3 linked regions of the Caenorhabditis elegans genome follow. The protein of the gene in region 2 purifies or fractionates together with the protein of the main gene of each other region. This does not show direct contact. Each region holds a gene or a part of one and is shown on either strand. Other genes may lie near its edges. The genes, in order: Y105E8A.11, lys-8 and dao-3.

Region 1 (3,597 bases), on a different chromosome or scaffold from region 2:
CGGAAATGCCTATATAAGGAGAGGAGGACGCTCATTTGTCATCATTTCTTAACTCTTTGACCCGTTACTTGTCGTTTTCCCTTTTCTCTCGTTTACTCTGTTTCGACGATGCAATTCGTCTGTTCCCTTTTACTTAATAAACCCTTATAAGATCGATCAGTGTGCGTGAGTGGCAGTTACATCCTATACCTTTATTCTATTAATAAAATAATTCTATTGATTTGATTTATTACCGATTAAACTCGTGATGAAATAAAATAAGAGTTGTATTGTATAAAGACATGGATAAACTAAATACATAATGTTGTACAAAAACAGTATTAAACATTCTTAGAACTATTATATTCTGACTATTTTTTGTTCAGATCGAAATTTACAGGCTTATCTTCTAGTCCGCCCTTTTTAAGACTTCACACAATTCAGGCCTATATTTCGCAAAATTCAGCAAAAAAACTGGCGTCATGGTGCATCGACTATCGATTTTTCGTAATTTTCAGCCATTTCTAACCCATTTTTCAGATATTTTCCCCTTTCTCCCAATATTTTATCTCATGTGCATCGAATCCATTGGTAAATGATCTCCTGATTAGCGCGCGCGAATTTCGATTTTTTTGCAAAAAAAGAGATCTACAATATTCAAAAAGTTCGAATTTAAAATATTCTTTACGATATTATGTCCTTTGAACTAATCAATAACTAGACAAAAAAAATCGATAATTAGTATCTAGGCGGCTTTTGTCTTGATCGTGAGCCCATGCATATCCTTAATCTGCTCCCGGAGAATGGAGGTGACCTGTTTGTGTTGAGCAACTTTCGATTTTCCCTTGAAACCGGCGGCTTCAACGACCACGTCGAACATTGATCCGCAGCCATCTGTAATATGGAGCTTGTAGTTTGTAGTGTATAGTTTGTAGTTTGTAGGGTATATTTTGGAGTTTGTAGTTAGTTTTGTATAGTTTGGAATTTATAGTGTACATTTTATAGTTTGTAGTGTTTAGCTTGTAGTTGGTCGTATACAATTTGTAGTTTGTAGTGTATAGATAGTAGTTTGTGGATATATTTTGTAGTTTGTAGTGTATGGTTTGTAGTTAGTGTTGTATAATTTGGAATTTATAGTGTACATTTTATAGTTTGTAGTGTATAGTTTATAGTTTGTAGTGTTTGGCTTGCAGTTTATATTTCGTAGTTTGTAGTTTGTAGTTTATAGTATACAGTAACTAACTTGTTTTTCATTATTTCTACCATTAATTTTGTGAGCGGAACAAAAAAATCATGAATGAATACCCCACGTATAGACTACAAACTACAAATATTAGTCTGATTATACTAGTTTATAGTATGTCTATTGTAGTTTGTAGTGTGATTATTGTAGTTTGTAGTGTATATTTTGTAGTCTGTAGTATGCCTATTGTAGTTTGTAGCGTACTCACTAGAAACATCGTGAACCTCGACACGAGTACATCCATCAATTCCCTCAGTGAGCAACTTGCTCATTTTCAGCTCGGCTTCTGACATTTTGTGCTCTCCACCACAACATGCCGAGTGACGCCTGATTGCTGAGGAGAGGAGGCCTGATCTCAGTGGGGTGGCAAGGCGGAGCATCTGAAATTTCGAGAAATGATAGCTTTTTTTTCGATTTTTTTCAGATTTGGAGAGAAAAAAAAACAAGAAATTTCACATTTAAACAAAAAATTTGTTATTTTTTCAAATTCTCGAGGTTTTTATAAATTCTGAAAAATGCCGAAAATTCGTAATTTTAGCTTTTTTAGTTTAAAAATTAGAAAAAAAATTGAAATTTTCGAAAAAAAATCAATAAATGTTCTATTATATATTATTATTATATATTTTATATATTATTAAATATTATTATATTATTATATACTATTATATATTATATAATAAATGTTACATTTGTTCTATTTTTCAAAAAAGTAATTAAATTTTTTTTTTTCGAAAAAATTTTCAAAAAATTCAAACTTTTTTAAAGATTTTCTAGAATTCAACTTCGACAAAAATTCGTAATATTTGAAAATTCCAAAAAATTACCAGAAAATGCTTTAAAAGTTAAAATATTTATCTAGTTAATTAGAAAGTATTCCTTTAGCGAAATATTCAAAAAAAACTTTTTTTAATCAAATTTTTCAAATTTTACATTCAAAAAGTCACCTGCAATGCATAATTTACATTACATGAAATTGAATTTTTTTGATTTTTTTCCCAATTATTAAGCTTTTAAAAATTAGCTTAAAAATACAGATTGTCAACATTTTTCAGAATTTTTTTGTTGAAAAAATGCGAATTTTCTCAAAAAAAAAAATCAGTTTCAAAATTGTGAAAAAAAAATTCTAAATGGTTTTTTTTTAAATTTAAGCTTCCGTGATTACTATAACATTTTCAAAAAATTGAGGAAAAAATTCAAAAAATGTTTTTAATTTTTCAAAAAAAAAAGCTCATCCTAAAAAACACCGTAATTAGCTAACTTTTTCAAGAAATTCAAATTTTTTTTCCAAAAAAAAAAAAAAAGGCAAATAGCATAAATTGATATCCTAAATGGACAACAGAAAATATAAAAATCAGAAAAAATTTTTCAAAAAAATACTTGTATTGCATTGTAAAAACGTCATTGCACAATCGAAAATTCGAAAAATAAAAGACCACGTAAAATACAAAAAATCGGGAAAATATCCAAAAAAATCAGTTAAAAAGTACAATTATCGTAGTGTAGCAATCTTTGGAATACTCCTCTCATCATGATAATCACTAACATATCCTAAACTCGAACCATCTTCACTTGTATCCCCTAATATTCGTTGTTTCTGTACTTGAATTGCTGCTTCGGATTCCGGAACAACTTTTTCATTTTTCACCAAATTCGGCAATTTTTCTTCACTCGTATTCATTCCACAATGCTTTTTTAGTGACCATTGCATTGCCCAAATCGATAGAGGACGCATGTAACCAATGGCTCGGTAGAATCTGAAATTCGGATATTTTAGGATTAATTTTTGGGATTTTTTAAAGAAAAAATGTTTGGAAATAAAAAAAAAATTCCAAAATTATTGTTTTTTTGGATATGAATTTTTTGTTTCTATTTTTAAAAATAAATTTCCATTTTTTGGAATTAGTTTTATGAATTTTTGCTTTTTTGAATATCCAAATTTTTCTGGAATCAAAAAAAAAAAAGTTTTAATGTTTTTTTTTAATTTTTTGTAAAGTTTCAAACTTTTTTTTTTGGGATTACGAGTATTTTTGGAAGTTTGAAAAAATAATTTTTGATTTTTTTGGATTTTTTTCTAATTTTTGAATTTTTTTTGGGATTTTTTTTAGAAATGTGTGGAAAATTTTTTTTTTTTTTTTTTGGAAAAATCTATTAAAAAAAACAAATTTCAGTTTTTTTTTTCAACAAATTTCTTTTCCTCACAATTTTTTCGATTTTCAGTTTTTCGAGTTCAAAATTCGGGAAATTTAAATTTATCGTTTAATGTTTTATAAAACGTATTATATGAACACTAAATATGCGTGTTGCACAACACATTTAACGCGCAAAAAATATCTCGTAGCGACAACTATAGTAATTCTTTAAAATGCTACTGTACT
Region 2 (3,760 bases):
GCATTCAAGCTTGAAGGAAACACGTTCGTTGAAGTCAAAGAAGACAATACGAATATCAAAATGGAAAAGGGAACGGACTCGGAAATAGATATAGAAAATTAGAGCCAAGCTCGCATTGTTTTGTTGTTATTTGTTTTTAGATTCTCGTGTTTTGTTTTTTTGTAATAAACTTTATTTTCAGATTTTCATAACATATTGGGGGTACAGTTAGATACAAAATATAAGTAGTCAAATTCCACTTATTTTCGGAACTGATAAAATCTATTGACTTCCTTGAATGAATCCTCCAGCGTAGATCTTTCCATCCTCTTCAACAGCGTCAGCGGCCTTGAGCATAGTTCCAGCAGCATAAACATCTCTGTTGACAGTGAACTGGCAAACTTGCTCAACTTGAGCGAATTGTTTGACAGATGGAGTAGTCCAGCATCCGAACGCGCGGAAATCAGCAAAACTGGCCGGGGTCTCTCCATTGACACCACCTCCAAGGACATTCCAGTACCAGAGGAGAACATCATTTCCAATGCTGCTCCATCCGTTGGTGATCTGGTTCCAGTCGTAGTAGGAAGTGTAGATTCCGACAGTCATTCCATATTGCTGTAAATTATATGAATTTTGATATGAAATTTGTTGCAGAAGTATGAACTAATCGGTTCAGTTTAAAAACGTCTTAACCCAAAGGTCTTATCAGATTAATCAATGTTTTAGACTATAATACGAATCATTCGAGTTTTCGTATTTGAATGTATTTCAATTCCTTGAGCAAAAAATCAAGCTTCTACAGGAAACTTACTCTAGCTCTTGACACAATACTGTTGATAAAGTTGACATTGTTATTAGCATTGCTTGGCCAGTTGGTTGGAGAAGTGACCTGGATCCATACAGATCTGATTGTTATTCCTCTTGCAGTCAATCCTTGGTAGATCTCATCCAATTGTTGGTATCCTTGCTTGCTTGAAGCCGGCTGTGGAGTCATGTAGATCTCTGTTCCGAGTCCAGCGTTATACGCATTCTGAATAGTATTGCAGGAGTTGGTGTCGAAGGATCCTTGTCCAGCTGGGTTGTATGCACTGGAAATTCGATTTAATTGTTATGGAGTTTTAGAAAATGTTCATCAAATTATGAACGTTTGGAATCGAAAAATGAATTAATCAGAAACGAAAGCAGGCAAATGTTTGCCCAAGTTTGGCCAAAAATATTAAAAAGGTTCTGAAGTGACAATACATGACCAGAACTTGTTCTGGTTTAGCTCAAGTTTAATTCAACTGTTGACAATATCTTTACACTTGGGCCAACCTTGGGCAAAAAAAGATTCAACTTTTTTTTATAAATAACAATTTATAGATAGGTAAATCATAAAATCTTTTTCAATTCTTACCGGACAAAGACTGCCGAATAACCAGCTTGTTTGAGGCACTGAAGCTGGCTCAATGAAACTGGAACAGACAAATCAACAGCGAAAGCATATGAAGCCAAATTTGGTGGAACTCGTGGAGCAGCCTCAGCAATGACTTCTCTGAATTTGACTGGAAGAGATGAGTCAACGAATGGAAGGACCTTGACGGAGACTGAAGCCGAATGGCAAAGTACTGCCAGTACTGACAAAAGAGCCACTGATTTGAGAAGCATTCTAGAAAATGTTCAACTTGAATGAGTTAAGAGAAAATTATTAACAAAAAGAACAAAGAATAAGAAACCAAATTTTATAAAAATCAAATACTAAACCGAAATGTTGAAGAAACTGGAGTGGTTATCATGATTTATAGTCTTTATCAAAGAGCTGGCAAGTACCGCTTGTCCATCTGAATTTATAATTTCGGAAAACATTATCATGATATCACACTCTGTTATCAGTAACTGTGTACACACTTTTATGTCATTAATGTCGATGAAAAGAACATCACAAATTATGTGGAATACCGGTAATTGAGCGTGGGCGTTTTGATGATTTTTTCTAGGTTCAAATTCTCGTAAATGACAATTTGTTGTCTTTTATTAAATTGATAGTTCATAAGTGAACACAATTTTTTTCTGACTAACAGATAGTGGTAAGATTTTCAAAGCGATTATGCATATGTTTTACGTTCAACTTTGACCATAACAGCGAAGAAAATTGAAAGTTCTTGAAAACTAGAACTGTAAAATGTATGATATTCTCCTTCAGCACTATACCAATTCTTTTATACAAAAATCCCATTTGCAGCTGAATAAACATTCTCCTTCTTGTTCCATAATTTTTCCCATTTCACTATATTTTTACCGTTTAACATGTCTGTTTAAACTGTACTAACATCCAACGATAGCCCCTGTGAGCAATCCAATTGTTTAAAAATCATTAATCTATTTTTAATGTGAATTCAATTAGTCGAGATTTGTCTTTGGATGGAATAAAAACGAAGATGACGAGTTTAAGAAGTGATGTCATTTCCAGAGGAACAGAGAGTAAAGAATTCGAATTGTTGAAACAGCTGAAATTGTAGATCCATTTCGAGATCAATTTAGTATTTGATAATGAAAAGTGACGTGTCTGTCTATTCATTGAACAAATAACAAAAACGATAAATTTTAGTCCTGAAGCCAATTATTGGTATTTTCTAAAAACTTTGAAGATTTTTGATCCATTATTAATTTCAACTAATTCTTGGCCAAATTGTTGAATTCTTCAGTTAACGTATATTTACTTAACTTTAAAGTGGCTTCAATTATATCCAGGGACCTCTTTAGGCTCTCCTACCTACATTGGGTTTTCAGTATTTTAGTTTCCATCCGTACTTGCCTGCCACATGTCTACCTTCATGCCTGTCGTCGATGTTCTGTATTTCTTTCGTGATCCTACTGCCCGCCTGCCTGTCTATGTGCCTACCGCCTATTTCATTACTTTTAATATTATGCCACATTTTGATGTTCCAGATATCATATAGCTTGTTCTATATCCAATGTTCCTTTGAAAATTGAAAAATCAGAAATTCAATGATATCGTAAAAAAACGAATATATATTCTTTTTTAGCTTCTTCCTGTATTTACTTATGTTTTTTCCTTCTGAATACACACACATTTCTCTCTCACTTTATTATCATAAATCATCATAAAAAAATCATTGGTGACGTCAAAGTTTACATTTTTGGAGGTGCTGTGAAGAATTGTTGAAAGTCGAAGTTCTCGGTGTGATATGAAGACTTTGGAGGTTGTCGTTCAGCGATTTGATGCCAAGTGAAAGCGGATGTACGATGGAAAAACTGAAATGATAATTTGTGTAAATAAATAATATATTCAAAAAAAACTAACGCTCAACTCGACGAAAGCACTTTGAATTTCTCCGAGATGCAATATTTTGGCATTCACATACTTTTCCTTGATGAACTTCGAAATCGCTTGAGCACTTTCATCGCGAACACTTTGGGTTTCCGGCTTCTGTTGTTTGACAACCTTCAGCAGATCTCTCTTCATATCCACATACTGAAAAGTGAAACTTTATGGTTACATTTATGAAAAACTTCTGAAGAAACTAGAGCTTTGAATATTGATTCCTGATAACAAACCTTTGGATATTGACCGTAAAGAAACTTTTTGACTCTTTTGAGATGCTTGGGCCCTCGAGTCTGCAAGTTTCTTTCAGCTGATGCCAGAACGACCGCATTCTTTGCAATTGCATCGTTCATTGCTGGTTGCAACTTTGTGTCCGTTTTCCAGTTGTTTTGAGTCAACTGTACTTCCTTGTTCAGCTTCTCCGCTGCCGTTTGTCCTTTCTCGCTTACAATGTTC
Region 3 (3,760 bases), on a different chromosome or scaffold from region 2:
TCCGGGGACAGGTGTGAGGAATCCGGCGACTTCCTTTGCGGCTTCTGTGTCAACATCTCCGTAAATTTTGCGTGAGTTTGGGTCGTCACCAACGTTGATTCCACAGTCGATGACGAATGCGCCAGGCTTGATCCAATCAGCTGAAATATATGCTTTTATTTGTAAAAAACGCTGACACTTATCAGAACAGAGAGTCTGTTTCTATTTGATGCAAAACAATTCAGAAGTTGCAAACAGTCAGGTGCATACTAAACATTGATAGTTCTTAAATTGGGGTTTCTATTATAGATATTTTGCATAATTTAATGACTTACAAACTTTTAGGTTAGCAAGTAAATACCGTGCTGCTCATATAAAGGTCTACTCGTAATAACTTTTGCCAAGATTCTTCTTTTAAATGGATTTGGGCGTAATTATGAAAAAAGCAACGCGAAATTTGTTCAATGATGAATTCCAAAAAATCAGGATATAAAAACTTTCACTATTTTACTATAGTCAGATCTCAGCTCGGAATAACCACGTTTGCTGAAGTTGAAATCAATCTTTTGATATCTGTATGGCCAGTACTGTGCACTATCTCAAATTTAGGTTTATTGATAATCTACCTTTGACGAAATGTTTTCTCCCAATTGCCACAATCAAAATATCTGCTCTCAGGCATTTCTCCTTGAGATTTGGAGTTTTTGAGTGGCAGATTGTCACAGTTCCATGATGCCACAAGAAAAGCGCAGCGGCTGGAGATCCGACAATTTTCGAGCGTCCCAAAACAACCACCTCCTTTCCAGACACAAAGTTGGCATCACCAGTTGCCTGTTGAACCAAGTACAAGCATCCAAACGGAGTGCAAGGAAAGATCGTACGCTGGAGTTCTCCACGAGCCAAACGTCCAGCATTGATACGAGTCAGTCCATCGACATCTTTCAATGGGTCAATCAAGTCGATAACAGAGTCTGCGTCGATTTCGTGCTTGCAGTCCAGTGGAAGCTGAAATTAATAACTTGCTATTATTGTTTAGCTTCCGATGTTTTTTTTTAATTAACTGAGATGTGTTTTTTTTCCGTTATAAGTTAACATTTCAATATTACAACTTAATCCGTTATATTAACCTGAATGATAATTCCGTCAATCTCGTTGTCATGATTAAGAGCCATAATCTCTCGCTTCAAATCTCCTTGAGTGATGGTGTCTGGCAACTTAATGAGTTTTCCATCTGCTCCGATTTCCTTTGCTTTTTTCAGTTTGGAATTAATGTACACATTGGAGTCTGAACGATTTCCAACCTGCAAATTTTGAGACTTTGAGTTATTCAGTATAACAGATATCCCCTCGGATATTATTTGTCTTGTTACGAAATAAAAGCCGGTATCTCAAAAGTACACCACAACTACAAATTACGCTCTGCAAAACTTTCAAAATCTGTTTTGTAAGTATGCAATGCACTTATGTACGTCATGAACTCAAAACACAGATTGGACAGAGATTTTCATTTTCATATATTCAATTTAGAAATATTATTAAGTTAATAGCAATGCTTGAAATAAAATTATTATCAGTGGTAAGCTTTCATACCTGAACAATTGCCAATACTGCATGAAAATTTGGGTGGTGCTCACGGGTTTTTGCGATTTTCTGTCCGACATCGTGAAGAACCTTTTTTGAGTACTCGAGTCCACTGACGATCTCCGCGACCATTCTAAAAAATAAACAAAGTAATAATCAAGTTGAAAAATACGTCAAGAAAACAAGAAGGGGAAGAGTAAAGGAAAAGAGTACGAAACTCCTCTTGTACTTGGCTATTCATGGGAAGAGACTAGTGCAGAAGTCAGAGGACAAGCTGATTGGAAACTTAGCACATATTCACATTTCGATGGTGGGGGACAGAGTGAAAAAATAAAGCGTCGAAAAAGTTGAATATGCATAGCGGTCTGTTGTTTGTGGGGGAGTGATGAGAAGAGTTTTAAAACGGCCTGGCCTTGTTATCTTATGCTGAAGATCGCTATGATTTTATGTGTCGAGTGACTAGAGTTGCTTGTCAGCGACATTCTCATGGAAAATACATGTTCCACCGACAGTTTCGATGTCAAAGCTTCCGCATTAAACATGTTTGCTTGAAAATGAAAACAGTGTATCAAGGAACAAAATTCAATTTTTGTCACATGAAAATAATACTTTTGAAAGTTTTTGCTGCCTTATATGTTAACAATATATCAAAATAATGGACACAGTGCAGAAATGTCCAATACGAACGCGTGGCGGCGGACCATGAAAATCGATAACAGTCGGCGGCTGGCCTTGCATGCAATGCGCGCGCATAACACAGAAATCTTATCGGCATCCATACGACGCAAAATCTCTTTTTACCCAGCAATTTGCCGAGATAAAAACAATAATCATATCAACATTTTGACTACAATGGGACTGGGATCTTATCATGAAAACTTCTTACCTTGCAAATTTGAATGTGAAACTCATTATTTTTCTTATAAACTGGGAAACGTTGATTTTTAAAAAGTGTCTATTTCTATTAACCAGAAATCAAAACATGTTATTCTCAAATGTTTTTTTCAAATGATTTAAAATGAAGAAAACAAGTCTTATCAATAATGTCCTAAAACCTGCACAATCCAAATTATCGGAGCAATTGAACAGTGAAAATAATGAAGTAAATATTAAATATTAACATTTTTCAAAGGCGTACACAAAAATCATTTATTCAAAATCATTCTTCGATTTGAAAAACAACTAAATCACAGTATTTATATAAAATTTGCGAGAGATGGTGAGAAGGGATGGACAATGGGATTTCATATCATACAAAGAACATAAAATAAGATGTAACCGTTTTGGAATGTGCAACAATTATGGATTTGAATACAATTAGTTATCCTTTTTTGTGCCCTCGTCGCCACCATTGATAATCGAATCCAAAGACTCGGCTCCACGAACAAACGATTTTCTATTTCCATAATCTGCTTTTTCCGAGCTATTCTTTACCAGACGTCCAACAGTCAAGTACTTGAATTTGAACTGTGTCTCCCATTCGTTGGCGGTTTCCTGTAAAAATCAATTTAGGTTTTTTTGTTCACAATCAATCTGACCGAGGCAATATACATTTGAATTAGCTTCGATGTCATATTGATGACACAAAAAAGTTATGGTTTATGCCTGAGTTATGAATAAATACCACAAATCATAAAACAATGACTTTAAGGATTAAATGTTTATAACGAACTTTCACGTTCTTACTCATGAGAAAACTGCATAGCCTACCTGCTCGTCAGCAGAGATTCCAGTATGATCATCCCACTCGCTAGAAACAGCATTCTGGTCCATGGTTCCAAGCGCGCGGGTAGCGTCATGCCCGGCAAGTGTACCGTAGGCTTTTCCTGGTCCGTAAAATCCTTTTCCGCGAGTCACGTCATAGATAGTTCCGTTGAGTCCAAACAGAATGTGCTCATTTTTGACACCATCGTACTTGCGCAGCTCTTCAACTGTCATATCGGACATTGGCAATGGGGCGAGCTTAAGTTCAGGATTTAGAAAAAATACATGTTCATTAAAGAAGCTAATCAAATACTTACTTCTTTTGGTGGAGCTGGGAGCGGTTGCTCGGATCTGGTGAGCCAGTAGAAAAAGAATCCGAGAACGACGACAAGGAAGACCGCGTCGTACATTGTGAATTCAAACCAAGAGCTAAGATCCATTGTGACTGTACAGCTGAAAAAATGACAAACGTATAAAATTGAAACTCGAACATATG

The links.
Region 1: the proteins of lys-8 (region 2) and Y105E8A.11 fractionate together in Caenorhabditis elegans (co-fractionation; one large-scale study listed by BioGRID). This does not show direct contact.
Region 3: the proteins of lys-8 (region 2) and dao-3 fractionate together in Caenorhabditis elegans (co-fractionation; one large-scale study listed by BioGRID). This does not show direct contact.

Annotation. Positions count from the first base shown.
Region 1 is NC_003279.8:14,430,798-14,434,394, reverse strand, and holds Y105E8A.11 (BolA-like protein 3), read right to left. Parts: upstream 1,605-3,597; 5' UTR 1,603-1,604; coding exon 1,431-1,602; intron 874-1,430; coding exon 725-873; 3' UTR 645-724; downstream 1-644. Other genes in the region: hpo-13 (Non-lysosomal glucosylceramidase), read right to left, coding at 2,712-2,976.
Region 2 is NC_003280.10:5,584,045-5,587,804, reverse strand, and holds lys-8 (LYSozyme), read right to left. Parts: upstream 1,628-3,760; 5' UTR 1,627-1,627; coding exon 1,376-1,626; intron 1,068-1,375; coding exon 791-1,067; intron 595-790; coding exon 262-594; 3' UTR 154-261; downstream 1-153. Other genes in the region: C17G10.13 (THAP-type domain-containing protein), read left to right, coding at 1-102.
Region 3 is NC_003284.9:8,084,858-8,088,617, forward strand, and holds the start of dao-3 (C-1-tetrahydrofolate synthase, cytoplasmic), read right to left. Parts: upstream 1,694-3,760; 5' UTR 1,693-1,693; coding exon 1,570-1,692; intron 1,281-1,569; coding exon 1,107-1,280; intron 985-1,106; coding exon 606-984; intron 141-605; coding exon 1-140. Other genes in the region: Protein vem-1, read right to left, coding at 2,878-3,054, 3,271-3,522, 3,582-3,704.